7 linked regions of the Nothobranchius furzeri genome follow. The protein of the gene in region 5 interacts with the protein of the main gene of each other region in a pairwise test. Links are inferred from orthologs where the notes say so. Each region holds a gene or a part of one and is shown on either strand. Other genes may lie near its edges. The genes, in order: rfx6, arnt2, neuronal calcium sensor 1, stx12, dtx2, glyctk and trim54.

Region 1 (3,500 bases), on a different chromosome or scaffold from region 5:
AATCTGGTCTTTTGTTTTTAACTCACAACTTAATAAAATTATTGTATTTGTTGACACATGGAGGTTGTTTTTGTGACTTAAAAGAAGATAATAAAGTCTGAGTCAGCCTTAACCAGTGTATAAATTCAGGTGAAAATTTTCATCTATGAATAGTTTAAAATGGTTTTAAAATGTCATGAGAGAGATTGCTCTGAAAAGTAGTAAATGAGCCTTGACACAGTTTTTTATGGAGTTTAACCCAGATGTTTTTTGTATAATGTCACTTTCAGATGCCAGTAAAGCAACGTTCATGGCGTCACCCAGTTCCTGCTTTCTAGCCAATCGCAGCAAGGCATCTGCTCCCTCTGACCAATCAGTAAAGAACGAGTCTCTGGGAGAACACACCTACAAAGCTGTGTTCACCAATCAGCAGCAGGGTCTGGAGGCGAAAACTGGGCCCTACCAGGGAAACAACACATCTGGGTTCACGGCTGCAGGTGAACAAAAAACAACTTTTAAAGTTTGTGACCAACGGTGAATCTGCAGCAGGGAAACCTCTGCTTCAGCACACCTGGTTCTAATCAGCAGGTGATTAACAGACTTGTGCATGATGAGCTGCTGAACAGGTGTGTTGATGCAAGAGAACGATTAAGGCCCTGTCTCAATACTCGTGCTGCACCCCATGGTCCTCTGCAAAGTGCACTTGGAGGAAGTTCACGTAAGGCTTCGAGTGCGTAGTACACAAGTGTGCAAATAATTGCCGAGCTGGGACAGCAAACAATTATTTGACTAAAATTACTTTCATTATCATCCACATTAAATCTCATTTAACATACCTCAGAACACGCCTTCCCTAAAGATAGGAAGTTCTCGTGGATGAGAAAAGAATCATGTGAATGCGGTTAACCTTAACCTGATTTACTGTGCCCTGTATGATTGTGCATAAGTGCACATGATCTTCTTGTCACTTTTAACATTACTGATTATCATAAATAATTATTATTAGCCAAAGAATAATAATTCATTTCAGTAATTAAACACAGTTAAAATGAACCATGATGATTATTTATGAACATTGTAATAGACAGTGAAAAGAGTTTATTAAAAAGGATTCTTTTAAATCTTGAAGTGTCCTTCGTCTTGCGGATGGAACAGCAGTCAGATAAAGGCAGTCAGATTAAAGGGGTGGTGGACAGACATTCAGTTTCCTGTGAAAGAAACACTGTAGATTGTCGTAGCAGCCAGGTCAAAGTGACCCAGGCTGTGTGTCTGACCTGAGGTCAAGAATCAGGCCATTCAGTGACACTACAACGTCCTTAGTAAAGCCCATTTGAAGTCGGGCAGATCCTCGAGCAGTCTGGTGCAGAATTTAATTTAAATGTATGTAAAAAAAAAAATTAAACATGATGGGAGAGCAGAGCCAGAGTCTGTAGGTCGAATAAAAGATGCTGATGTAGATAAAATAAATATTATTTACTACAATTTTTTGTATAATTGGAAACTATGCATAAATTTGTGTTTTCTAGAGACACCCTGACATCTTTAGGAGACTCATTCTGTGACCTTGGAAGTTTTAAAATGTCTCTTATTGAGAATAAGGATATGTGTAAACATTATCGGCACTTTCTAGTTTTCAAATGAGTTGAAAATGGTGTAAAATCTCCCACCGACTTGAAGCAGAACCCAAAGTTACTTCCTGTTCTAAACAGGAACAAAGTGTCTGAACTTCATCCATCGTGATGTTTGAAAGTTTCTCCTCTTCATCTACTCTCAGGAGGTCAGATGGACTTCTCTCAGGTCAGCGGCCCCCTCATGACTCCTCCCATCTCTCCAGCTGCGTTTGTCCACCGTGGCTCCGTCATCAACCAAGGGCCCATGGCGGGGAGGCCCCTCACATCCTCCTGCTCTTCTTCCTCTTGCTCATTCTCCTCGTCCTCCTGCTTCTCCTCTATCAGTGCAATGACCCAGCCCTGCCAATCCTACTCAGAGACCCTGTACCACAGCTTACCTCAGACCAGCACTGGCTACTTTCCTCCAGCCAGCAGCCCCTCTGGTCCAAACTACCAGACTGCTCTCAGGTCAGATTTACTCTCAGCTGCAGATTTGTTATGTGTGCATCTAAATATTTAAAATAACAAATCAAATTTGGTTACGTTTGATAGCTTAACAGGAAACAAATACAGATTTAATTTTTAATTTTATGTAAATTAAACTTTCCACATGATTGCCTGAATAACTGAAGAAGAAACCAGAACTTTGTCTATTACAAATATAATCAGGGTGTTCTGATTTTCAGATCCCAGACCCAGAACCAGTGTCAGTCTCCTCTGGCGTGCCACCTCCCTCGCTACTCCTCCATCACTGACCAGACCCTCGCGAAAGACATCTTCTACAACCATCATCCTGCTCCTCTCCATCACTCCTCCAGCAGCTCAGACTGCTCCCTGACTCCTTACGGCTCAGTTGTTCCACCAACATCCAGCTACGCCCCCGGCTCGGATCCTGTTCGGACAGAACGAGGACTGGACCAGCAGGCAGCCGCTCAGGTCCTGGATCCTGGTGAGGGTTTTGGATTTGTGGAGGGCAACCTGAACCTCACCAGTGGAGCCTGTCAGGAACAGACGTTCTCCGTTACAGGACACAGCGGTGAGGAATCACAAACTGGAATGTTAACTTCTCAAATCTCTTATTAATGAGCTTCTGCAAAACAGAAACAATCCTGTTGAACTGCTCAGCTTCTATTTATGAAAAACTTATCGAGAGGTGTTTTTGTCTTATCTGTTCAGACCAGTAAGTTTGTTTGTACTCTAGGTCAAATTCAATCAAAAAATAACAGTTTCCAACGTCCTTCACAATCAAAACCTCCACAAAGGTCATCAAATGTAGCATAGCAAGATCTTAAAACTCATAGTTATTGTTTCTGAAAATACCCTTTTTACTTAAAATTTGTCTGAAAAAATGATTGTTCAGCCGCTTTTCCATCACCACCATCTTTTGTTTTAAAAAGTGCTTTCAGCTATCAAAAGCACCCAACCACTGAACACAGCACACATATACACTCACTGGCCTCTTTATTGGGTATATTTGTCCAACTGCTCGTTAACACAAAGTACTGATCAGCCAATCACACGGTGGCAACTCGATGCATTCAAGACGGTCCGCTGCAGTTCAAACTGAGCTTCAGAATGAGGAAGAAAGGTAATTTTAGTGACTTTGAATGTGGCATGGTTGTTGGTGCCAGACGGGCTTGCCTGAGTATTTCAGAAACTGCTGATCTTCTGGGATTGTCACGCACAACCGTCTCTATGGTTTACAGAGAATGGTCAGAAAAAAGGAAAACATCCAGTGAGCGGCAGCTCTGTGGGCAAAAATGCCTTGTTGATGTCAGAGGTCAAAGGAGAATGGCCATACTGGTTCGAGCTGAAAGATAGGCAAGCAGGTATGCAGAAGAGCATCTCTGAATTAACAAAACATCGAACCTTGTGGCAGATGGGCTACAGCAGCAGAAGACCACACCGGGT
Region 2 (4,204 bases), on a different chromosome or scaffold from region 5:
TATGACAACAACTACTGTGTATCAGATTTTTTTTATATAGCTCCCATCATTTTGGTCCGACAGGAAGCCAATGGGCCAATGAGGTAGAGGGTAAAGTGCGGGGTAAACTAACCAATCAGAGGACAGAGAAGATCTGCCACAGGCCACGCCTCCAGAGTACCAAAACCCCTTAACAGCTGAGCGAGCGAAGTCAGAAACCGAGCGCGCAGAGAGGCTGCCGCGCGCGCACGTTTTCCTCTGCCGTGTGCTCGTTGGCAACGCGCGCACGCAGGCTTGTCACTTGTGCACATCCTTGTGCGCTCACAGACACAGTTTGCTCCCTCTCAGTGCACAAATGACCTCTCGCCATGTATATTTTCACTCGCGAGTCCCGTTCACACGCGCGATGTGGACCCAATCCGCGTGCACAGGTTGTGGCACGGGTCTAACGCCATAGCGGAAGCCAGTGGAGGTCACGAGGAGACAAGAGTGATGAGGCCACAGGAGTGGGTGTGGTTAGGAGACAGGCAGCAGAATTGTGGATGAGTTGAAGTCTGGTGAGGGTTTTGGGACACCATAAACATGTTAGTGCTGTAGTCCAGGGGCGTTTTCTTCGAGGACCTCCTTGCTTGTGTCCGAGACAGGCCAGGTCCCCCAACCTCAACTCATACACACACACACTCTTTAAATGAGATCATTTACCACTTTTATGCAGACATACAGAGTTATAATGTATAATGTTGGGTGTGTTATTGGGACTTTTATGTCATTTTTACAAATGAAATCTTGATAACCTCACAACCTCATCAAAGACCAAATTGTGGGGACCCCCTTAGGAGTCCCGACCCCCAGCTTGGGAACCCCTGCTCGATTTATGACGTGATGAATGAATTTCAGGGACAGAAAAGGAAAGGGAAGGTCAAAGTTGAACAAAATGCATCACATGACAAAAACATCCAGAGCCCCTCCACCACCAACACAGGCTTTTCTTCTTCTGTCTGCCCCTCACATGGGCCTGTCTAGAACCGGCCCTGCTTCCTTGCTTGTTTCTGACTAAAATGATTCTGGGTTGTGAATAATGCCGGCTTACTCGTATTCCGGTGTTATTTATTGAGGTGTAGGCCCATGGCCTCAGCTACAGGAAGGTGTTTTACTAGAATAACGCACTGCCTCTGTGTGGATGCTGTCTCCAGCAGTAAGGCTGAACCTCATGGAGAACTAAAGGAGCCTGATGGTCATCTCCACCAGAACAGCAACAACATCCTTCTGTGATGTCGCCCAACCCGAATGAAACCCTCCTCTCACTTGGGTGGACACGGTGTGGCGCTGGCGCGCGCTCCCGTCGCGGGGAAGCGCTACCGGGGATAACGACATCGCTACAACACCTGTACCGGCGCTGCATCATCACCGGCTCTAACGCCCGTTATTCATGCGGCTCTAAAGTCTCGCGGTGTTACCATTCAGACATCTGACCCGGAGCTCTCTGTTGTATTGTGCGTCATCTCCATCGGTGCTCCTCACAGAAACATCGCAAACACATAAACGGCGCAAACATGGCGACTCCGGCTGCGGTGAACCCGTCCGGTAAGTGAACGTTCGGGGGGGGGGGGAGAGGCCGAGGCCGGTGCCCCCACAGGCCGCCACAGCATCTGTCCCCTTCCCCCACCCGGTCCGGCTCGGCCTCTTCGTGTTGTTCTGTTCGGGCCCAGCTCGGTCTTTGTGTGGTTGTGGCGCTTCTCCCGTGGCTTCACGGGGCTGCTGGGCCCGGTGTCCACGGAACCGCGGCTCGTAACCGTTAAACTGGACAGACTGAGTCCCGGTTGGTCCTGAGACGGGTGTGGGGACGGCTCAGCTCAGGCTGGGCTTCGGCGCTGCTAGAGCCATCCCAGCACTAGGATGAAGGAGTTACGGAGGTTCAGCCATCCATAGTGCAGGAAGAGCAGTGAGTGGTTCCTGCTGCTTCCGACCAGACCCGGTGATGCTGCTACCTTCACTGACCAGGAGAACCAGCTTCTGCAGCAATGGCTTATGTTCGTGAAGCTGGTTAGGGTCTACAGGAGCATGGTCACTTAAGCTAACACACACACACACACACACACACACACACACACACACACACACACACACACACACACACACACACACACACACACTCACCAAATGTGGGACAACGTGAAGTTCCAATATAATGAGGAAAACAAACAAACAAAACGTATCTTCTGCCTTTTAGCCCTAACATCACTGTTACACATACATAAAATGATTATTATTATCATCGTATATTTCTTGTATACCGTAAATCCTCTAATACATAATAATAATGCTTATATTGCTTTCCTTGACGTTGGACGTGTTACGGCTAGTTTACCCATTTAATTAGAGATCCACTAGGATAAATACAATAAAGTTGAACTAACCAAACAGAATATTTACTAAGACATCACAATAGAACTATAGACACATTATTGTGTGTGTGTGTGTGTGTGTGTGTGTGTGTGTGTGTGTGTGTGTGTGTGTGTGTGTGTGTGTGTGTGTGTGTGCTCTGTCTTCTCGATCCCCAGTGAGTCGTGGAGGATGGCTGCTTATACTGAGCCAGGATTCTCTGGCGGTTTCTTCCTGTTAAAAGGGAGTTTTCCTCTCCACTGTCGCTGCATGCTTGCTTAGTATGAGGATTGCTGTATAGTCACTGACACTAGCCAGTGACTTGATGCGATTTGCTGGGTTCCTTATATAGGAAACATTATTTCTGATTGGCTTAATGAACTGTGAATTGGAATGTTTATTATGTGAAGTGCCTTGAGATGACTCTTGTCCTGATTTGGCGCTATATAAATAAACTTGAATTGAATTGAATTGAATACAGGCCCGGGTCTGTATTTTACTCAAGCTCCAGGCCTTTATTGGAAGGAGGACCAGAATTAGAGGCAGGCCTCTATTTCTATTTGAGCAAAATGAACTAATGGTTCGCTGGAGTTTTTGACAATTAAAATTGAGCCCACATTTTCAAAGTTAAACACATTTCTTTTAACAACGGTAGTTTCTGCTTCAGCCATCTCCCCCCTCCCCCTGCGCAGCGGCCGCAAACTCACTGATGCGCCTGCAGCCTCTCAGAGTTCCTGCTGCTCTAAACATTAAAATAATTATTTCATTTTCTGTTCCTCACTTCTGATGACCTTCAATGGTGTCTTTTTGTTGCAACAGCAGGTACAACAACTAACTTGTTTTATTTGACTATTTTTATGTCCTGTCTCGTTTTATTATCTTCCTGCATCTCCTCTCAATCCTAAAGAAAAACTGCTGCCTGGATTCATATATATTCACCTCATGAGTTACCTTTGAACTGCAATTCTAAAAGATCTACCGACCGCAAAAACAGCGGGGTGCTTGCCGGCCACATCAGTTAGGTGCGTCACCGAGGACAAAACAGGTGATGCGTCCCGATCCACAGCAGCGAAACGCATCAGGCACATATAAAAGAATTAAAGACAGAAAACATAAAAGGAAATGAGCCGACATGAACGATCGCGTGTTAAATTAGTTTTTGAGGTGGCGACACCTGATTTGATAATGTTACTGTGGCCGTGCTCAGGACGCAGATGTCTGGAGCGCGTCAACAATCAGAGCTTTGCATGCGCAAGCTGGTTAAGGTTAGGATGGGGGTGAGGGGAATGTAAAATTGCAAGAGGGTAAAGGTCACAATTTGGTTAAATGTCCGTTTTACGGCGGGTGTCAGTACCGACGCTCTGGCACAGCGCGTTGCCTCCCGACGCGCAGGAGGTTGTCACCTGCTGACAGCAGGCTGCTGTCTTTTCCGAGGACTGCATCTTGCCGGTCATTATCACGTGACAGCGACTAGTCGATGACAGGCATAAAAAGTCACTATAGAGCGGTGAAGTCGACTAGTGACTAGTTCATACAACCCCTGCTACTGCTCCCCAGAGTGTTCTGCAGCATAATCAGCACGTTCTCTTTGAACTTGATATCAAATTTTCGCCTCCTCTTCGTCTCCGCACGGTTAAAGTTACCCTCGCGGTCTATCACTGGCAAATCAAAAGTGAGACGGATGACACAACCGCCCCCCGTACTTGCTTGTTACCACATTCCACCCGGCCACAATAAAAAACCGGCCATTATTCACCTCCGCCGACTCCGACGCCGGCCAAAATATGATACCCGGCAGTTAATTAAATACAGGCTAATATTAGAGGATTTACGGTATATTTTA
Region 3 (4,203 bases), on a different chromosome or scaffold from region 5:
GGCTTGTGGGAAAAGGACTTGTTCTTGCATCATTGTTTTAGGAAAATAAGACACCAGTGCATGTTCAAAACTTCAAAACGATTCTTCCCATCTCTTCTAACAAGTACAGCTGAAATCAGTTTGCATCATTCTTGTTTTGCATTTTGTCCCAGTGGGAGATGCTGCATTACATAGATCAGTAATCTTAATGAAAAAATCTGAGGAACTACATCTGAAAACAGTTTTATGATGATGTTTGTGACTGAAGGGAGATAGCATTTTTGATGGAATTTTTCCAGGAAAATGTCTTCATGATTACAAAAAAAACATTTGGGCTATAGTTCAGTTTGGGAACTTTAGATTTGTACTCAAATCAGCATAAATATGTTGCAGTGAACTGTGATGTTCTCTTTGCGTTTAGTGATTGCAAAGGATAAACGCTGACTGTTGCTGCAAAATAGACTCACTTTTCATTTTATCAATTAGATGAAAATTGGAGTTGATGATCACACTTGCATAAGTGCAAATATATTTTAAACCCAGTAACGGAGACATTGCATGCCCTTGTAGCAAATTAACAAGCCTGTGGCTCAAATGACACCCCCATATATTTTTCTCATCCAATTATTAAGATCCAATTAAAAACTTGAAACAACAAACAAAATTACCAAGCTGAGTTAAGAAACCAAGCTAAAAATGTGTTTTAATTATTCTCACACCTAGGACAAATAAAAGCAAATAGAAATAGAACAATTGATAACTAATGTGACACGGATATTTCTAAGGGCAGGATGAATGGGTGGATAGATGGATGGATGGATGGATGGACAAATAGATGCATAAATGAATTGATACATGAATGGATGGATGCCCTTGCAAACAGCTAACGTCTCATGGACGTGCAAATAAGGTATTGAGTCCGTTGGTCCAGACCAATTCCGAACTATGTATTTGCACATTTGGGCATGGATGAATGAATGACGCATGGATGAACTGATGAATGCGTGGGTGCAGGGCTGGATGATGTATGCATAGGTGCATGGATGATGCACTTGTTAAGTGCAGAAATGGATGGATTTTGGATAAGATAATTACGCTTTAAACTAATTCAGGGGTGCCTGATTTAAATATATGTAAAAAAAAACTTCGGAAAGTTTTCACAAATGGGACCAGACTGGGGCCACTGAAAAAAAAAATCTGGTAACGATAAACTAGCTAAACCACCTTTTTATACTTCGCAGTGAAGACTTGATAGTAAACGTGGTGTGTGTCTGCTCTCCTTTCTCGGTATGGAAAAATGACACGTGTAAAGGCTGTGCAGGCACACAAAGAGTCTGTGTATGACCGTTGCTGGTACCGCGACGTCAGCGACTCTGTCGGGGGCCAGCAGCAGCAGCTACGTCACTCCCTGACGGCGGCACATCAGAGGAGCACTGACGGTCAGCCGGGGCTAGCAGCAGCGAGAGGCGGCGCGCGCTCGGCGGAAGAGGACAGCGGTTCACTGCTTTCTATACGCTCTGTTGTGGGTCAGCCTGGACCAAGTCCTCATACTCCAGTAGCGCAGGTAAATCCTAAAGTATTTCTTCCCGAAAGCTTGAAGCATTTTTATTTTTACGGTCAACTGGCAGCTCTGAACAGCGCGTGGGTACCAAACGTGGCGAGTGGACTAGCGAGCCTCGCATTGTCCCTGTTGTCCTGTAGCCATAAACTGCGTTGCTATGGTGCCGAAAGGCAACATCCCACCTGCTGCTGCCATCACACACACACACACACACACACACACACACACACACACACACACACACACACACACACACACACACACACACACACACACACACACACACACACACACACACACACACACACACACACACACACACACCTGTCAAACGTTTGTAAAGGAGTTTTACTGTTTATGACTTTCGGTTTCTTTAGAACCATTTAATTAACTAATTTAATGGAGTAGCCTACACTGGAAGAGTTTAGCCTCTGCAGCTTCTAGAGGTAAAAAAAAAAAAAAAAAAAAAAAAAAAACAAGTCATCTGCTTCTCAGTGTTTTTCCTTTATTTGAATTCCATTCCATCCCATTCCAATTTCCAGTAAAACCATCACAGGTTGCCAGTTTCATCCTAACTGCTGTTTTGTTTATTTTTACAGCTTCCAGGATCTAAAACGGTTGTGCAAACAAAAGATGGTGATCACCAGCGTGGCATCCCTTAGAAGGACTTTGGACAAAGAGAGCAAATGTTAGCACTGAAGGTGCAGTAGTTTTCTGCGTAGCACGTCTCAGACAGATGCTGTTGTTAGAAATCAGTGCATGCCAATACCAGGCCTGTGACACAAAGAAATTCCATTATCCCTATCTCTCTTGACTGCTGTGACAAGGAGGGAAATCACCAAGCCATTCTGTGGAGAGGCAGGGAGGGAGGGAAAATTATGAGTCAGAATGTAGGAGTAAAAAAACTGTCACTCTTCGATCTGCTTAAACTTTCTAGAGAGTGCACAATGCTTATTTTAAGAGCAGTACCAGATACCTTTTTTACTGTAGAGCAGGTATTCAAAACAGTAGAAACATGTGACACATGCTTGGTATTTATTTAGTTAATAGAATTGATGCTCTTTGAGCAAAACTAAGGCCTATTAATTGCATTTTAGTGTACTCATCTCCTTATCTCAGAATGGGGGGATTCTGTTCTGCTGTAATGTACGCTGAGCAGTAGAGATAGTGGTGGGAAAGGAGGGGTGGGTGGAGTAAAAAGAACAGTGAGCGACTGTGAGGCAGAGTGTGCTTAACCCAGCATTTGAGTGACTCTTGTATCCAAGGACGAAGGTAGCAACGCATCCGAAAGCCACTCCTCGCCCACGGACTGCTGTGAAGAAGTGAGGCGGACGCTCAGACGCTCAGTGGTGCTCAGATAGACTCAACAGCCTCACAAAACCCCTGGGGTTTGATGTCTGATGTGCCAGGGATGATGACAGTGCAGATCATGACCACAGCTAGAGTGAAGGATAGACTCACGTAGCTTGAATGGGAGTTCCCCCCCTTCTTTTTTTTCTCCATCGACACAGACCAAAACAAAATAGTGTTTTGCCTTTTAAGAAAACAGTGTCATTTGTATCCTAAATCAGCCCACGGTTGTTGCATGTTTCTGGCAGAGGAGCACACTGGAGCGAGGTAGTAACAGGTGCCGTGTCCCACAGCGATTCTGGAGGTGTGGATGAGAGCTGAAGATCATGGGAAAATCAAACAGCAAGCTCAAACCGGAGGTGGTGGAGGAGCTGACAAGGAAAACCTACTGTGAGTTTCTGCCTGTCTTTATAAAAATGATAACTTTATTAAACACTTTGTAACTTTGGTTAAATAAAGTTTAATATATGAAAATACATATATTGATGCTGCAAATTCCACCTTCTGTGACCCTCTCTACAGCCTAGAGGGATTCTTCACTCTGGTCATTATTGATAGAACAGAGCTGCAGCTAAATGTCAGGCTTATTTGATTTAAATTTACAGTTCAATGTGTAGCAAACAGATTCGTTAAGGTCAGACAGAAAGTTGGAATCAGCATATTTAAATCATGATGTGGAAACTTAAATATAAGGAATAGGCCTGCACGGAAAACCTGCGGTATTCGATAGCAATGATTAATATTGCAATGACGATATTACTTGCGATAAATAAAAACTTAACTCAAGAACAAAAATAATCAAAAACAAAGAAATAAAAAAAAATCATAAAAATGAGAAAAGCAAAGGATGTGAAGAAAGGTAAAAAGAAAATGAACAAGAAAAGACAATCAGTTGATCCCGGGAAAAGCAGAATCAGCAAAAAGAGCAGAACAAAGCTAACTCAGGTGTTTGCTAACCATCTAAATTAAGTGCTGTCCGCCTCGGGGGCGGGCATCTAACCTATGAGAACCCACCCAATTGGCCAAATGGGTAAAGAGCTCTATTTGATTTGTTAAAAAAAGCATCATGCTTCCGTTTCGTTGACAGAATGCATTATGTTTAGCAAACATTTGTGATATTTACCTGTTCTTTGCGATATGCATATTGTGCATGCTGATATTGCGATAACGATATATTTATGATATATTGTGCAGCCCTAATAAGGAACCTGAGTTTGTGTCAGCTGTCGTGTGGTTTCATGGGTTTTGCTGCAGAACTCTTCTTTGTTGGTAGATTTACTAAGTTAAATCTTTTTTAATGCTTTACTGTAAAA
Region 4 (4,014 bases), on a different chromosome or scaffold from region 5:
GGGCACAACAGCAGAGTTCTCTGTCCGGAGCCGGGATCGAACCTGCAACCTTCCGATTACTGGACAACCCGCTCTGTTGAGCTACTGCTGCCCCAATGTAAACACTGTGAATAATCTACTAAATACTAATGGCGAAACATTATCCCACAAAGTCTTCTTAGAAAAATATAACATTAATACTTCACAAGAAGAGTATAACATGGTAATTAAATCCATCTATGTTTGTATTTTCTATTTAACACAGACCATACAATCAAACATCATCTTATCTGCAACAGCCAGACCTCCAACTATTTCTGGGATTCCAATCACAGATAAGAAATTTAATAATTCTGTTATTAGAAAAGTAATTGATCCTGTCTCAACCCCGATATGTAAACACTGATGGACTTTTATGAATACAAAACTCTGGAACAGGATCTTTCTGCTACCTCACCAATATGTTATTGTGAATAAGATAAAAGAAATTTGATTCAAAATTGTTCATAGATATTACCCGTCAAAAGCAAACATCTGTATTTTTTTCCAAATGTTTCTGACATATGTACTTTCTGTGGTTGTAAGGGAGAAACTATTGAACATGTTTTTGTTGATTGCTTTCATGTAACTTTGTTTTGGTTCCATTTAAAAAGATACATTTCCAAAAAGTTACAAAAAAAATATTTCTTTAAGCAAATATGAAATACTTCTTATTGTTACTAACCCTCATTTATCATCCAATGAAAAATACATAATTAACTTAGTCATTATTTTAGCAAAATATTATTTACATAAAATGATTTTTCAGAAAAGTATCCCCTTCTATAATTTCAGAATTACAGACCTTATGAAATATTGGAACAGCATTGAAAAATTAAAAATGAAGAACAACAAACTAACAAAGACCATCAACTTATTTCATCATTTCAACTTAGACACAGCAGACCCCTAAGTGTTATGTTTCTAAGTTATATATGTTTTCGTCAGTTTTTTTTATTTCTTGGTTTTTTGTTTAATAGTTTCCTAATGTTGCATGTATATTATTGCAATTCTAAACAACTGTAAAATGTGATCCATGGATTTATTGAATGTGTTTTCTGAATAAAACCTGTAAAAAAAATTAATAAATTAAAAAAACACCACGGACCAGGAAGTAGGTTTGGCTCTCTGACCTATGATTGGAGGCCGTGATAAAATGGGTGGGACGCTGCATTGTGATTGGTTGAGCTGTTGAAGTAGCATCCTGGTATTGGTTGTTAGGGTGTGTTGGTCTGTGAGGTCTTAGCGCTAATGCAATATAGCATCAACCTAACGGAGGACGAGTCATCTACGCCCATGTATCGATTTCAATACATTAGTAAGCAAATTACAGCATGATGCCTTGTTTTAATGTAGAATTTCGTCTTTGTTTTAATTGACCACGCTCTGCGTGTCCAGTTTACGAGCAGTTTTTACTGTAAAAAGACGAAAGTAGACAAGTTCGCCACCGTTAGCCTAAAACGAAGGTTTAGCTTCTCCGTTCTACCAACACAACGCTAGCTGAGCTAAACAGATACGACGGTTTGTTGAAGTGTTCCGTTCCTTATTGTTATTGATTAATTATGGGGTTAATTTAAAGGCGTTTAAACAGCAAACTGGTCTGTTCGCTAACTCGGTGTTCGGACATTTGTTTACATTTACATTTAGTTTAACTGCTTAGCGGTGATAAATAAGTGATAATCTGACTTGATTGGACCTTTGAGCTCATTACTGAAATAATCAAACGTCATTCATACGCGTGACAGAGTCAAAAAGGGAAACGAGTTTAAATCTTTAGACCCTTAAAACTTACTTAAACCATTATGTCGTTAAGCCAAATCGTTCAATAATGCAATGTTTATTGTTCCATTTTCTTTTGCAGTTCCAGTTTAACGTGTCAGGAAGCTCCTAACAGTCGCAAACATGTACGGAAAAGCGGAGTTCCGCCCGGTTCACATGGACTTCAGCTTTCTCATCCAGTCCTGCAGCTCAAACATCCAGAAGATCACACAGAACAGTAAGAGGTTTCTCCTGTTCCTCGCGCTTCAGCCTGGTGGGAAATCACATGCCACATGGTCACGTGATGACCATGTGAATGAGCTTTATAGCCTGTTTGTTATCCCCACGGTATTATCCACTGATCATCATCTCTCCAGGGTCGCACTTCAGTCTTTTTGGCTTCTTTAATGTTATTTCTTCAGAGGTGTGAACAGCAGGTCTCTTGATGAATGATCAGTTTCTCGTTTTACAACAAAATTATTTAATAATAAGGGGGGAGTGAGTATGTAACAGGGTGTGGTGTCACTTAATTATTATTAACAATTACTAATAATTATGAGGGGAATTTTTTTTTGTGTTGTTACTGATGTCTGTTGTCCCTCTGGAGTGCTGCAGGAGTACACACAGGGATTTATGGGGGTTGGATGAGGATAATGAAAGAAAGAAAGTAAATCAGTGTTTTGTGAACTGTTTAATTTGACATAAACATGGCAAACATGCTTTCTTGTCATTGTGTGTGAAAAACAGTGTAGAAATAAAAACAAACGACATGTGTTAATAGAGAAATAGCTGGCAAGCCGTGCTGACGCATGACGCATGCGCCGTGAGCGGTTTTGGTACTTTTTGGGTTGCAGCCACTCGCAGCGCTGCTTCAACCCTCACGAGGGACGAGCAAAATATCAAACATGCCAGAAATCAGTGCGAGCTCACGATTGCTGATAGGTAGCTGGTCACGTGGTGTTAATTGCCTCTCGTAACCACCTGTATACTACACGACGCTCTGCACAAAACTTGCCCCGATCTTGTAGATTCTCGCACGAGGGGAAAATCGGCTCAAAAAAGTGAAAGAGTCGCACAGTGCCCGCCTGGCTTAAAGGAACAAATATGATTTTGTAGTTCAAACAACAATGCTAAATATGTTAATTTACATTTGAGAACATTACCTCATGTCCAGTTGAAACTGGTATTGTTTAATGAGTATTGTATTGGTTTTCTCAATGACAGGAAATTGAAACATTGATATAATTTGCTTTTCGTTAAGACAAAATCGATATCGGCAAGTCAGGTTTTTCTCAAGATCGGTGATTGGCCAAAAACTGCAATCGGTGCACCCCTACTTCTCACTTTTTGCAGGAAAACCTAAGTGATATAAAGCTGATTTCTGTGTTTTAGTTCCGTCAGCGGGCTAGCATGTCCAGCTTTTCTGAGAAAGTACGACTTGAAAATGGAATACTTCCTGAGACCAAATCCATTCATCCCGTTCCATCAGCCATTGTGGGCATAAAAAATAAGTAACATCAAAAGTATTAATGTGCATGGCTCACAAGAATGTGTTTTGCTAGCGACACTTGGTAGAGATAGCTTCTCTCAGACCGTCGGACCAATCGGAGGACAAAAAACCCCTGATGTCACCGTGAGCCAACTACCTGGCTCAGCGATGTGATTCTGAAAGCTCACTGGTTAAAAAAACCAGATCCCATAGTAGAGGTTAACCAATGTTGGATTTTCTATTACTGATGCCGATAAGCAGAGCTAATGGTCAGCTGATGGCCGATATCTAGACATCAGTTGATACACAAAATTTCTGAAGCTAAATCAGTTTTTGAACTTGTAATTTAACCAACTGTTAAACCTTAATTTTGTGCACGGCTCAGTGTTAAAATCAGACATCTAACTCAAGTGAATCAAACAAAATTATTTGTTATGCAGAAGTTACTCAGGAACATAACTCTGCAGCAGCACCAGGCTGCCTGAGGATGTGCCTGACTTTAAATCTGCTTTACTAAGGAGATACTGTATATTGGCATTGGGCGATAAATCACTCTACCACTACTATATGGTATAACTAACAAAGGCCCGTTCTACTGATTCTGAACGCTTTGGGCAGATTGGACTCTCCCTGGCATCAATAGAGGCTGAAATCTGATTGGAAGAAAAATCCAGATGTAGAGGACACGGTGTCGGTACAGGATCGGCTCGGGGTCCTTCGACTGCCGATGACGTCACATTACTGCAAAT
Region 5 (3,500 bases):
TTTTTTACGCCTAACCGGACAAATCCTGTTAACGTGACAGCGTTCGGGTGGGTCCAGTCTGGTCCGTCTGCAAGAGTTTTTATTCTGACGCCACCTTCCAGCCACGCCTTTTTGTCCCGCTGAGGTCAGGTTTGGATGCTTCGCCGAACGTTTGCAGGTAAAATATTCATCAAAGCTGCTGATTTCTATTCTTTTCTCTGCCTTTTTAATTCCTGCTGCTCGCCTTTTAATTTAGCCGGCGCGTTCCGAACAGACGGAGTAATTCCAATCAGCTCGGAGGACCGGAACCTCATTAGTGGAACGCTCCAAAGCGGGACACGAGTAAATCATTTCAAATGGAAGGTCAGCGGTGCGGCGCCGCAGATTTAATCCTCATTAGGCGGTAATGAACGTTAACGGTAACCAGAGCCAAACTTCACCGTTTGGTTTGGATAAACTTGTGATGAAAACACGACTTCCTTAAACGCCGCCGCCGTCGCCGTGCTCCATTTGTGAGCGAGTTTTCAAACTGAAGCCGGCGGAGACAGAAAACATTCTGTTTACGTTTGTGCATCTCTGATCTCATTCAGAGTGAAGGATTGTGGGTAGTCACAGCTCCAAGTTCTGGTTTTTGCTCTGACACACACACACACACACACACACACACACACACACACACACACACACACACACACACACACACACACACACACACACACACACACACACACACACACACACACACACACACACACACACACACGCCTGAGTTGCAGCGGAGGCGTCGGCCGCTGCTACGTTTCTCATTCTTTTGATTTGTTCCTTTCTGTTCCTGCATCCCTCCACTTGCTCTCCACCCTCACCCGCCTCACCCCGCTCCAGGCATGGCCTCCATTTTGATGTCAGCAGTGGGACTCGGCGTGCACTTCACCTCCGCCCCCCTCCCTCAGCAGCAGCATCAGCCGCCGCCGCCTGCTCCCTTCGCTCTTCCTCCTCCTCCTCCTCTCCTCCCCTCAGCCAGCAGACCCAACAAGCCCCACAGCAGCAGTTCAGTTAGGAGAGCAAAGAGGCAGCACAGGAGAGGTAGCTACCTCACCCAAAAATACCCATAATCCACTTCACCTCCATCCTCCTCCACCCGTCCACTCATCTCCACAGGCTTGAGGAACATCTCATCCTCCATCACGACTCGTTTCCATGCGTCCTCACTCTAATCCACCTTGCCGTTTGTTTTGCGTCCCTCGACAACGAGGATAACGCGACACAGGTGATAAAAATGTCTCACCTGTGGATTTTCAGCGGGGGTTCAGCTTTGGAGGAGAGAAAAGGTCAAACCTTTGAGCCAGCAGGACGTTTATGATAACGACGAGTTTGAGTTTGTGTTCCAGACCTCAGGTCTGCAGAAACCTCAGAGAAGCTAATGAAAAGGACAAAAAGACGAGGACAGGAGCAGCTTCAGCCGTCAGAACTTTATTTGTCCTCAAAAATACTACATTTAATAAGATTAGGAATATTCTGTGAAATTCTGGAGCCTCAGTTTAATAAATCCCTAAAAATGTCTCATTAGGTTGATTTTAGGACGTGTGAGCATCACTAGGTTTGCTTTATTTGATGGACTTGATTGGATTTTGCAACTTCTGGCTTCAGATTATAAAGAAGAAATGTTGAAAGTGATGCGTGGATATTTACAAGACGCTGCGCGCCACAAACTGTCTGTTTTCACAGTTATTTATGTGATTTATTGCAACATTTTATCGTTAATAACCAACAGATATTGGAGCTGAAAGCACTCGGTGGCTGTGGGAAGAAAAACCTTCGTTTGCCAGTTTTTCTTTCCCAACAAACTAAACGAGCTCCCTCACCATCAGAAACACGGAGACTCCCTTTAGTTCATGTTGGGTCCCGTTTCGCCGTCCATCAGCATTTCATGTGTCCTGGTTCCATTAACTTCCATCAACCCTTGACTCTTAACGTTCTTTCTGACGGCACCCTCCTACAGTAACTCACCTGATGAGTAGAAGTGCTGGAGTTGTTCGTCTCTCCAGGAGAAAAATAGTTTCATTCCATCCCGTCTGATTTTTAGTTTCAGCACATTCTCGACTTCTCTCTCCGCCAGTGCTGACTCGGAGCTCTGAGGACGTGATCCGGCGCTACATGGAGGTGGTGGCTGAGGTTCCCGAGGAGGTAAGTGTTGTTGCATTAAAGTAAACAAGTCCCAAATGTATTTAAAGGTATATTTAGACCTTCTGAAGGGAGTTTATTTCTATTTGTTGGTTTTATTTGAAGTAGAGGGAAATTGAAAAAGACAAAAGCTCTCAGGACAGCAACACAAAAACACCATTTCTCTGAACAGAGGCTGTTTTAGAACTTTTACACATAAATGCATTTCAAGATGGCTGTAATATCCCTTTAAGACACGGCTCAAGGCATGATGGGAAATGTTGTGTGAAGCTTTAACACTCGGAGACTCGTCTCTTCCAGGACTGCATCATCTGCATGGACCAGCTGTCCAGCCCGTCCAGCTACGAGACGCCGCCGTCCTCAGAGGACGGGGTTCAGAGCGTCCTGCCGGACACCGTGGGAAAGTTCATCACATGTGGACACACTCTGCACATGCTCTGCATGCTGGCCATGTACAACAACGGGACCAAGGTACGGGGGACGTTTGGGCTTTCTTAAAGCCTAAATCAGGAAGAAGCCTGCAAACAGAATCGTTGTTCATACAGTTCTTGTTCAAGTGTCCAAATTAAGACAAAGGATTCGGTTCTGTTTTGATATAGAATGTTTAAAGAAGTCCTCGATTAGATTTTCTTTAGTTAAGGCCTTTAAAATGACAGAAATCCTTCGATCCAAAGGTTCTAAAAATAGCACGGGGTATTTCCAGGCATGCATGTTAGCTCCAGGAGCAAAACGATGTTAAAGTTCGACTCTTAACGCCGTTTGTGTTTGATCAAATGTGATTAAATATCAAGTCAAAGAAATAAAAATGCATAGAATATTAAACGTTATTTTTGTTTATAAGGCAAGAATGGGGATTTGGAAACATAATGGTGTATAAATGATGGTAATCGGTATGCTATTCTAACGTTTTAGTGTAAGTTTCAGGTGTTTTGGGGGGTTGGGGTTATGACAGGGTATCTGCGGGTCCTTAAAAAGTCTTAAATTTGCTTTTCCAAATTTAAGGCCTTGAAAATCCTTAAAAATTACAAATAATCCTTAAATCCAGTTTCCAAAGGTCTTAAATTACCAAAGACCCAATAAACAAGATTCTTTTATTTCCATAAAATTTTCGTGAATTTCTAGTTTGTGTTCAGCATTTTTAGTGTACGATGTTGGCGTATGCAGAACCGTACACGTTCAGCTGGTTGTGAAAGGGGGCCATTTTTAGATGAGCACATTAGCTGGTTAAGCTAGTGGGAGCTTGCGCCATGGGGAAGTGCAGTTTTTATGGTAACTGGGTGGCTAATCCCACGTTTGCGACGTGGTTAGCACCGGTTCCAGGCAATAGCTGGAAATTATAG
Region 6 (4,271 bases), on a different chromosome or scaffold from region 5:
ATCATTAAACTCGTGTCAGTCAATAAACATGTAAGACCTGCAGCGGGAGTAAATGATTAAAACGAATCCACCAGCATCAACATGTGATGAGTACACTCAACCGTGGGCAAGGCAGTCACTTGTACAGTTAGCTCCTGTATGGGGCAGAATCACAGACCCTCAAACTGTACAAACAACTACCTCAGACTACAGTGAGCAGCATGATGAGCTGTGATGGAGAAGCTGGAGGTGGAGAAACATCCTGTAGAGTTCAGTCAATACAACAGATCATGATGCTGTGGCTAAAAAAAACAAACCCTTACAGACCAAGAAAAGTATTCATCCCCATTCACAGTTGAATGAATGTAATTATGGAAATGACATTAGTTTACATACCATCAATTTTGTTGGAACTGTAGACCACAGTGTTTGCAGCATGTGTGTACCTGATCAGATCTACTCCATACTTTTTACTATACAGAGTCCTCTTGGGCCTGTAATTAATCAGAACAAACAAAACGTGATCAGACTAACATCAAGAATTTTAATCAGAACAAATAAAACTAACCAACTGCTATTTTGTTAAAGTTCTATATTCTGCCGTTCTTGTTTTAAATCTGATTACATGCTAATCCAAATCTTCTACACATTTGGTTTTCTCTCATTTACCTTAAAAATAATGTATCCACATAATTGTATTGGAGCTAAATATGAAATAATGCTCGCACATGCTCATGTGAATACTCGTTTAGATTCAAAATTACTGATGATGCTGTAAAATAAGTTTTATAAAACTTAACAATTCAAATTTCTGCCCTCTTTACACCATCACTCAAGCTAACTATTACAAAAAATTTTAACATGTTGGGTTTTATTTACGGGTATATTTTACCAATCAGATAACCACATAATTATTACTCTAGCGTAATTCAAACGCGTATTTTTATTTGACCGCTGAGTCCTACGCAGTGCGACAGGCCTCGGTGTTAGCTTAGCATGAAGCTAATTCCAAAAAGTAAACTCAGCAGAAATCGCCCTTACTTTCCTTCCTGGCAGTCGTACAACACTATAGAGTCATCGTCGCTGCTGGAAATAATAGTTTCTCCGTTCGAACTGAAATCGAAGCAATTAATTTTGTCTGAGTTCTCACGAAATACTTTAGCAACCCTGAAGCTCCGTAGCACATTGTCCGTTAGCTTCATGGTTGTCTTGAGGGGAAATAGGCCCTCGTTCTCTTTGAACTTGATTTGGAAAGTAAACTTGAGGAAATTCGTGTGGATATGTGAGCAACAGTTACACTACAAGTCACAATTATCGAGAACTCAAATCAGAAACAACGACAAAATCCCGCCTGTAACACAGAAGGGAAGGGAAACGCAATGTCCGTCGCTCTATAACGGAAGTCACCTGACACGGGTGAAAAAACACGTGACGAGACAGCGTGTTATCGCGAGAATTACCACCAATACAAACAGCAGAAACACAGTGAAGAACAGCGTGAATAATCAAATCTTTCGCGTTTTTAGCTGATCTTACTTTGAAATTTCAGAGTGTTCCGATTTAAACACAAGACAGTTATTGTGTTTTTGACGTTTAATACGTATTTTTTATAATAGTAAGTGTGGAATTTTGATGTTCGAACATGAACGCAGAGGTAACGAAGAAAGTTCCAGCAGGAATTTTGACTCCATGGATAGAAACATTTCAGGTATTTGGCAACAAAACTGTCAACATTGACAGTTTTAGGCAAATTATTTCAATTTTAACTAAGATGCTTTAAAGTGCCAAAATATTGACTATGCACGTCTACACAATTAGACACTAGTTTAGTTTATCAGAAGAAAAAAAAGTTGATTTGGGGGTAACTTGCCTTTTAAACTTAATTTAATTTGATTCACACGTGTTCAAGTAAAATAATATGTCTCAACTGGATGAAGAGCACTTTAGCATGGTCTATGATCCGTTAAAGTTAATCATTAAACAGAGTTTAAACAACACCAATCATTGTCGGGCCAGATATTTGTTCCACTGCTGAGCTAGAACACACACGACGGGATTCCACTGGAATTTGCAGGCATTAAATGCCACCATTCACGACCCACACAGGTAGGCAGTCTTAAGGAATCTCAGAGAGCTCAATATTGGAGTGAAAGTTTGCAAAAGTAGAATGTTGATAACAAATATACAAGTTTTAGTTATTGGATTAGTATTTTTATGGTTGCTTTTCAAAAGCAAGATATTATGCACATGGATGAGGATAAAATTAGATGCAGAGGTTTTTCCACACCTCCTTTCTTTCGTTTTTGTACAACGAGGAATTGTTGGTGTACTAATTCCAAGTTTCTTTGAGGCATGTAATAAATTTCAAATGTCTTCACATGTTAAAGGTTTTTTATTGTCATTCTTTGTCCTGATTCATGAATTTCTCAGACCCATTGATCCATCAATGGCCCGCGTCCTTTCCCTGATCCGGCCTCAGCCTATTCTGGCCCTCGTGGGCCGGCCAAAACCTACATTCTGCAAAATGTCAATGGACTCACGGGCCCGGAAGGTCTTTGCAGCGGCAGTGGAAGCTGTGCAGCCAGACACTGTAATCAGGAAGAGCATAGAGCGCACGGAAGATTCAGTTCTTATTGACGGTCGCAGATTCACACTCAAACACAACCTGCACTTGGTGGGCTTTGGAAAAGCTGTTCTGGGAATGGCTGCGGAGGTAGAGAGGATCGTGGGTGATCATTTAGTGAATGGCGTCATAAGTGTGCCTCATGGGATTCAGCAGACGTTACGGCAGCACGGGAAAAGGTAAGGAAAGACCTTCAGAGGGAATCAATTTATGCCAAAGAACTAAAATAAATCAAGCTCTTAATTCTATCGCAGCCATCTCCTGCTAAAGGAAAACAGTCGAATCAAAGTGATGGAAGGAGCTAAACACAACTTACCTGACGACGACGCCCAGAGAGCAGCTGAAGGCATCAAGCGGTTAGCCAGTGAACTGACAGAAGATGATTTGCTACTTGTACTGATCTCAGGTAAAACTAACAAAACTGTTCCTGATCATCACATTTAATAATGTGATCTCCAACATCGGGTTCATCTGTACCCAGGTGGAGGCTCTGCACTGCTACCTGCACCCATACCACCGATCTCTCTGCAAGATAAACTGGATGTTACTCGCCGACTTGCAGCTGCTGGCGCCACCATTCAAGAGCTCAACAAAGTTCGTCGAGCCCTCTCTTTGTTAAAGGGAGGAGGGCTCGCACACTATGCTCACCCCGCGCAGGTAACACACTTCCTGTTAAACTATTTATGGACGAAAAGCTAACTTATCCTCTCTTCTCAGGTGGTTGCTTTGATTCTGTCTGATGTTATTGGGGATCCACTTGATTTAATAGCTAGTGGTCCGACCGTAAGAAGTGAGGTGTGGCCTGAGGAGGTTTTGTCCATCCTTGAACGCTACAAGCTGCCAGACTCCCTGTCAGCATCAGTAAAAGACGTCCTTGCGAGACGAGGTCCCCGGTGGAAAGAGAACAAGGATGAAGCTGAAGCATCTGGAGATGTTCTTAATGTCGTGATTGGCTCCAACAGCGTCGCCCTTCAGTGTGCAGGATGCTGCGTTCGAGACCTAGGTTTCCGCCCTGTGGTGCTTTCACCAGGTGTGTGTGGAGATGTGAAGTCTGTCTCCAGACTTTACGGTCTTCTAGCTCGCTTTGCCTCTTCTCGTGAGGAACCTCCTCCAGAGATTGCAGCCGAGGTGCTGAGGCTTGGGCCGGAAGTCGGCGTGGAGAGCTGGGATCTGTGTCGTACCATGCAGGTACTGGGCGAAGGGCGCACAGAGGGATGGGGCGCCACGTGCCTGTTAGCTGGAGGGGAACCCACGGTGGAGCTGACGGGCTCTGGACGAGGTGGTCGAAACCAGGAGCTGGCTCTACGGGTGGGACTGGAACTCAGAGGCCTGGAGCTCCCACCTAAAGGACCCGTGTTCCTGAGTGGTGGCACCGATGGCCAGGATGGACCCACAGAGGCAGCAGGGGCCATCACTGATGGGGGCCTGTATGACGAAGCCCAGGCACAAGGGCTTTACATCGATAATGTTCTCACTGACAATGATTCTCACACATTTTTTTCTCATCTCTCTGATGGAAAGCGTTTACTGGTTCCTGGCCTAACCTGCACCAATGTCATGGATGTGCATATGCTACTGGTTCCAGCAATTCCTATTAAAATAAGCTAATTCAAAAGCACAGAAGATTGAAGAATCACTAGAGCTGACTTACATTTTTGCTATTTGTTGA
Region 7 (4,080 bases), on a different chromosome or scaffold from region 5:
GGAGAGGAAAACTCCCTTTTAACAGGAAGAAACCTCCAGAGGATCCTGGGTCAGTATAAGCAGCCATCCACCATGACTCACTGGGGATGGAGAAGACAGAGCACACACACACACACACACACACACACACACACACACACACACACACACACACACACACACACACACACACACACACACACACACACACACACACAGAGCAGTGTGCTAGCCGATGGCCTCCTCCATGAAATTATTATATAAAATGGTTTGTCAGTGAAGATTGTTATTTAACTTATATTTTTTCTGCCTTCTGTTCTGTATTTGAAGCCATACTATGTAACTTTTTCATATTTTTAAATAATTTTCTTGAGTCAGTATGTGCTAAAATGATCCATTACAGGGTTAATGAAATGCCGCTCAGACCTTCAACTTCGGACTGCTGGGCACCTGTTGGACTTGGGGGGAAAAATTGCTGACATACCTGGTGCTTCAGTCTGCTTCCAGCACATTTCCTGCATGTTTTAGATTATGAACACACCTGATTTGTTGATGTAGTGATGACTCACAACCATGGACATAATTTTCACTTTAGAAGTGGGGGGACACGGGGGGGGGGGGTCTTCACAGTATGTTCTAATGGGAAACAGGCTTCAACACAATGGTTGTTTTCTGCTTGGTCCTAGAGCTCAACCAGTGTCAACTTAATATAGCGTAATATTGTCTTTGGATGGTAAAAAGTGCAGGGGTCAAAACTTGACTTTGGAAAAAGTTGGGGGGGGGGGGGGGGGGGGCATGCGTTAAAGAAATAATAGGCTTGCTTTTCAGCACCCCCTATAGTCTGAAGCGAAACCAATCTCGCTGTGCATTCTTCTTTTTAACACTTTAATCTAACAGCCAAAATGTCTCCCAGAGTTCCTAAGTGTCTAGAGGAGTGAGTCATCACTAAACGAAACAAATCAGCTGTGTTCATGATCGAAAACATGCTGGAACCAGACAGCAGCGCCCGGTAGGTCAGCTCAATTTTTTCTAAGTCCCAACAGACCGGAACACGATGGTCTGACCACAGGGGGTGATGGGGGCATTAACCCTGTAAAGGGTTATTTTAGCATTGGCTCAAGAAAATAATTTAAAAGTATGAAAAAGTTTTAAAGTGTCCATTTAAAAAGAGGAATGCACAGCAAGAAGATAGGTTTGATTATTGATTTGACCAAAGATAATTAATACGTACACTAGGGGGTGCTAAAGGTAAGCAAAACTGCCAAGTGTGCCTTTGTGTGCAGTACTGGAGCTCCACAGGGTACGGCGCTCTCACCCTTTCTGTTCACCTTTTACACCTCAGATTTCACCTACAACACCAGCAGCTGTCTGAGTTTGGGATAGATCCAGACTCTCCATCTCCTCTGATCATTTCTTTGTTTCTCTCAGAGAAACAAACTAATTTCTCCTCCTGATGACATCAAATTAAATAAAAACAAACTTTAAATTGATCCTGTCAGCTGTTTCAGTCGAGGGAAGCGTCTCGTGTTTCTGTTTCAGCATCTCGTCCTGCTTTATTTTCATCCTCCTGAGTGACGCCATCAAACATTCTAGAGCTAATTTTAGCGTCTCCTAAGAGGAAAACAAAAGATAAAAATGAATTTACTGAGTCAGAGTTGTTTTAGGATGTCTGTGGCTCTGATCAGCTGGACGTTCTCAGAACAAAGATGATTAGATATGATGCCGTGTAGCATTACATCTCATAGATAATCTTGTTAATCACTGCAGGAATCTAAATGAACTCTTCGTGTTGTCATGACAACCATTCACAGAGAACTCAAGATTTTCTTTGAAACATAAAAAAATAAAATTATGAACAAAATAAAACTTCTGAGTCAGTTCAGGAGAAGAACTCAGGATTTAAACAAAAAAAACAACAAGATTTTACTATTTTCTCCCAAATCTGAGCAAACAGGAAGTGAGTTGTGGGCTGGTTTAACTGGGACCAGTCAGGAATCAGCTGTGGGGTTTAAGGAATCATCTGAAGTGTTAACAACCAGGAACGTCTGTCATCGTGTCTCCAGGATCTTCTCTGAGGTGTCGGACTTCATGGAAACATCAACAGAGAGTTCTGATAGTGGTGACCCTCCTGCCACACCCGGAGCTCCCAGAAACCCGATCCAGAACAAACACTAGAGCTAAAAATATCTGATGGGAGGGTCCGTAAATCCGAGCCAGACGGGCTTTCAGAGGGGGAAGAATAGAGTCACATCTACAATAAAAACCAAACATCTCACAAACGCCAGCAGAATCTTTACCTGTTCGCCATCTGAGGCAATGAGCTTTGCTTCTGGGTTCAAACCTCCAACACCTGGAAGTTCTGAGCCCGGTACCCGTAGCAAAACCACGATGGAGAACCTGGAGAAACAGCTGATCTGCCCCGTGTGCTTGGAGATGTTCTCTAAACCTGTGGTGATCCTGCCCTGCCAGCATAACCTGTGTCGTGGGTGTGCCAACGACGTCCTGCAGGTGAGCATGAAGATCAACAGGTAGACTCATCAGAACCCCTGATCCAGTTCTGGTGATCCTGTGGGACTTACCCTCAGTTTCATGTTCTTAGCTGACACCTGGTGTGGTCGTCTGCTGCTGGAGTCCACCTGGAGCAGCTGGTGTGGTCCTAAAGGAACCACTGCTGTCTTTCAATCATCAAGAACCAGTCTGACCAGCCTCTGTAGACCCTAGATGGTTGTGGGTTCAAATCCTGGTAGATCAGACCATCATGCCTGGTACTAACAACATTCCACCGTAAATCTCTATTCTGATGCTCAGTTTGAACTTCAGCAGCAAACACCTTCTCTGATAGATGATTGATTTAAAGGAGACAAATTATGCAAAACTCACCTTCTGCATTTGTTTTGCGCCGTCGTGAGTCTACGGACTCCATAAACAGTCCAGGCAGGAAGACCCCATCCATCCATGTTCTGTCCGTCGTTGGTTTCAGGAATTACGTGCCTAAAATCAAGAAGTCCCAGATTGTGATTTCAAAAATGGGCAAATAAGCATAGAAATACCTTCACATGTCGACTCTGGAGGAGCGGCAGCTCTACTCTGAGCCCCTGTTGGATATTTGAGCTCCTCACCTCATAGGGACCAATCAGGAAATTGGTGGGTGTGGCCAGCAATGTTTTCTCAAAGTGACAGAGCCCTGAAATGGCTCATTTTGGAAAGTACTGAAAATGATAAAACTGCTGAAATTGCTTTATGTGAGAGAGATTTAGTGCAAAGAACTTCATAAACATCTTCGGTATTGACATAGAGCAACTACATTTAGCTAGAGTTGCTTTGTAATGTATATTTTGGCAATACTGTTGCCATGGTAACTCAAATTGTCATTAAAAGTGATTTACCACTTCTTCCAACCGAGCCAGTCAGTGTGATGCACAGTGTGTGCAGGTGCATGCTTGTATTTGAGCTCCGTCAAGTTCGAGGTGCTTTTTATTGTGGCTGTTTGTTAAAAGCGTTGCCATGGTAACACTAATTCCAAGCTACAGGCCCTAAAAAGGCTCATTTTAGCAGATTCAGACAAAAGGGTGCCTTTCTGCATATTAACACATCATTGTAGCTTTGTTGTTTTATTTATCACCATAAACAGCCATAAAATCATAAACATAAAAAAATAACTCTTATTTGTTGTGGTGAAAAAGTCAGATCACTATTTGAAAAACACTTTTTTTTAAATCACCTTGAAAGCGTTTGAATTAGTCCTCCAATGCTGATATGAGTGAAGGTTCCTTTAATTGTTTTCATTTTATGATTTAAAGATAAATTATTTGTTATAATAAACATATATACATATATATATTTATTATTACATCGACATATGTCGATGTAATAAACTTAGAAAGCGTATAAGATGTTCCTGAGAATCATCGTTTTAAAAATGACTCCAGCTGACTAACCTCAACCCATTAAACAGCCTCCTGTTTATCATTAAGATAAATGATAAAATGTCTTTTAACAAAAATCCAAGAAAACCAGTTTTTGTCTTCAACCAGGCCACCAACCCTCTGTGGCAGCCTCGAGGCTCCTCCAGCAGCGGACGCTTCCGCTGTCCATCATGCC

The links.
Region 1: the proteins of dtx2 (region 5) and rfx6 interact in binary tests that used the Homo sapiens proteins (3 or more experiments, as listed by UniProt). The two-hybrid records come from large-scale screens. The link is inferred for Nothobranchius furzeri from reciprocal best matches to the Homo sapiens genes DTX2 and RFX6.
Region 2: the proteins of dtx2 (region 5) and arnt2 interact in binary tests that used the Homo sapiens proteins (3 or more experiments, as listed by UniProt). The link is inferred for Nothobranchius furzeri from reciprocal best matches to the Homo sapiens genes DTX2 and ARNT2.
Region 3: the proteins of dtx2 (region 5) and neuronal calcium sensor 1 interact in binary tests that used the Homo sapiens proteins (3 or more experiments, as listed by UniProt). The two-hybrid records come from large-scale screens. The link is inferred for Nothobranchius furzeri from reciprocal best matches to the Homo sapiens genes DTX2 and NCS1.
Region 4: the proteins of dtx2 (region 5) and stx12 interact in binary tests that used the Homo sapiens proteins (3 or more experiments, as listed by UniProt). The two-hybrid records come from large-scale screens. The link is inferred for Nothobranchius furzeri from reciprocal best matches to the Homo sapiens genes DTX2 and STX12.
Region 6: the proteins of dtx2 (region 5) and glyctk interact in binary tests that used the Homo sapiens proteins (3 or more experiments, as listed by UniProt). The two-hybrid records come from large-scale screens. The link is inferred for Nothobranchius furzeri from reciprocal best matches to the Homo sapiens genes DTX2 and GLYCTK.
Region 7: the proteins of dtx2 (region 5) and trim54 interact in binary tests that used the Homo sapiens proteins (3 or more experiments, as listed by UniProt). The two-hybrid records come from large-scale screens. The link is inferred for Nothobranchius furzeri from reciprocal best matches to the Homo sapiens genes DTX2 and TRIM54.

Annotation. Positions count from the first base shown.
Region 1 is NC_091742.1:9,783,778-9,787,277, reverse strand, and holds part of rfx6 (DNA-binding protein RFX6), read left to right. Parts: intron 1-269; coding exon 270-476; intron 477-1,753; coding exon 1,754-2,057; intron 2,058-2,275; coding exon 2,276-2,625; intron 2,626-3,500. UniProt on the Homo sapiens protein: Transcription factor required to direct islet cell differentiation during endocrine pancreas development. Specifically required for the differentiation of 4 of the 5 islet cell types and for the production of insulin.
Region 2 is NC_091749.1:5,894,150-5,898,353, forward strand, and holds the start of arnt2 (aryl hydrocarbon receptor nuclear translocator 2), read left to right. Parts: upstream 1-1,404; 5' UTR 1,405-1,532; coding exon 1,533-1,563; intron 1,564-4,204. UniProt on the Homo sapiens protein: Transcription factor that plays a role in the development of the hypothalamo-pituitary axis, postnatal brain growth, and visual and renal function. Specifically recognizes the xenobiotic response element (XRE).
Region 3 is NC_091757.1:35,613,229-35,617,431, forward strand, and holds the start of neuronal calcium sensor 1, read left to right. Parts: upstream 1-1,403; 5' UTR 1,404-1,543; intron 1,544-2,139; 5' UTR 2,140-2,241; intron 2,242-3,138; exon of another isoform or gene 3,139-3,183; 5' UTR 3,184-3,216; coding exon 3,217-3,280; intron 3,281-4,203. UniProt on the Homo sapiens protein: Neuronal calcium sensor, regulator of G protein-coupled receptor phosphorylation in a calcium dependent manner. Directly regulates GRK1 (RHOK), but not GRK2 to GRK5. Can substitute for calmodulin. Stimulates PI4KB kinase activity.
Region 4 is NC_091751.1:25,527,620-25,531,633, reverse strand, and holds the start of stx12 (syntaxin-12), read left to right. Parts: upstream 1-1,214; 5' UTR 1,215-1,336; intron 1,337-1,411; exon of another isoform or gene 1,412-1,539; intron 1,540-1,879; 5' UTR 1,880-1,920; coding exon 1,921-2,014; intron 2,015-4,014. UniProt on the Homo sapiens protein: SNARE promoting fusion of transport vesicles with target membranes. Together with SNARE STX6, promotes movement of vesicles from endosomes to the cell membrane, and may therefore function in the endocytic recycling pathway.
Region 5 is NC_091750.1:69,056,490-69,059,989, forward strand, and holds part of dtx2 (probable E3 ubiquitin-protein ligase DTX2), read left to right. Parts: intron 1-861; coding exon 862-1,062; intron 1,063-2,062; coding exon 2,063-2,163; intron 2,164-2,460; coding exon 2,461-2,631; intron 2,632-3,500. UniProt on the Homo sapiens protein: Regulator of Notch signaling, a signaling pathway involved in cell-cell communications that regulates a broad spectrum of cell-fate determinations.
Region 6 is NC_091743.1:64,675,131-64,679,401, reverse strand, and holds the start of glyctk (glycerate kinase), read left to right. Parts: upstream 1-1,471; 5' UTR 1,472-1,687; intron 1,688-1,871; exon of another isoform or gene 1,872-2,085; intron 2,086-2,409; 5' UTR 2,410-2,425; coding exon 2,426-2,781; intron 2,782-2,856; coding exon 2,857-3,008; intron 3,009-3,083; coding exon 3,084-3,259; intron 3,260-3,319; coding exon 3,320-4,210; 3' UTR 4,211-4,271. Other genes in the region: wdr82 (WD repeat-containing protein 82), read right to left, coding at 376-473, 1,021-1,181.
Region 7 is NC_091742.1:14,249,008-14,253,087, forward strand, and holds the start of trim54 (tripartite motif-containing protein 54), read left to right. Parts: upstream 1-1,280; 5' UTR 1,281-2,169; coding exon 2,170-2,487; intron 2,488-4,013; coding exon 4,014-4,080. UniProt on the Homo sapiens protein: May bind and stabilize microtubules during myotubes formation.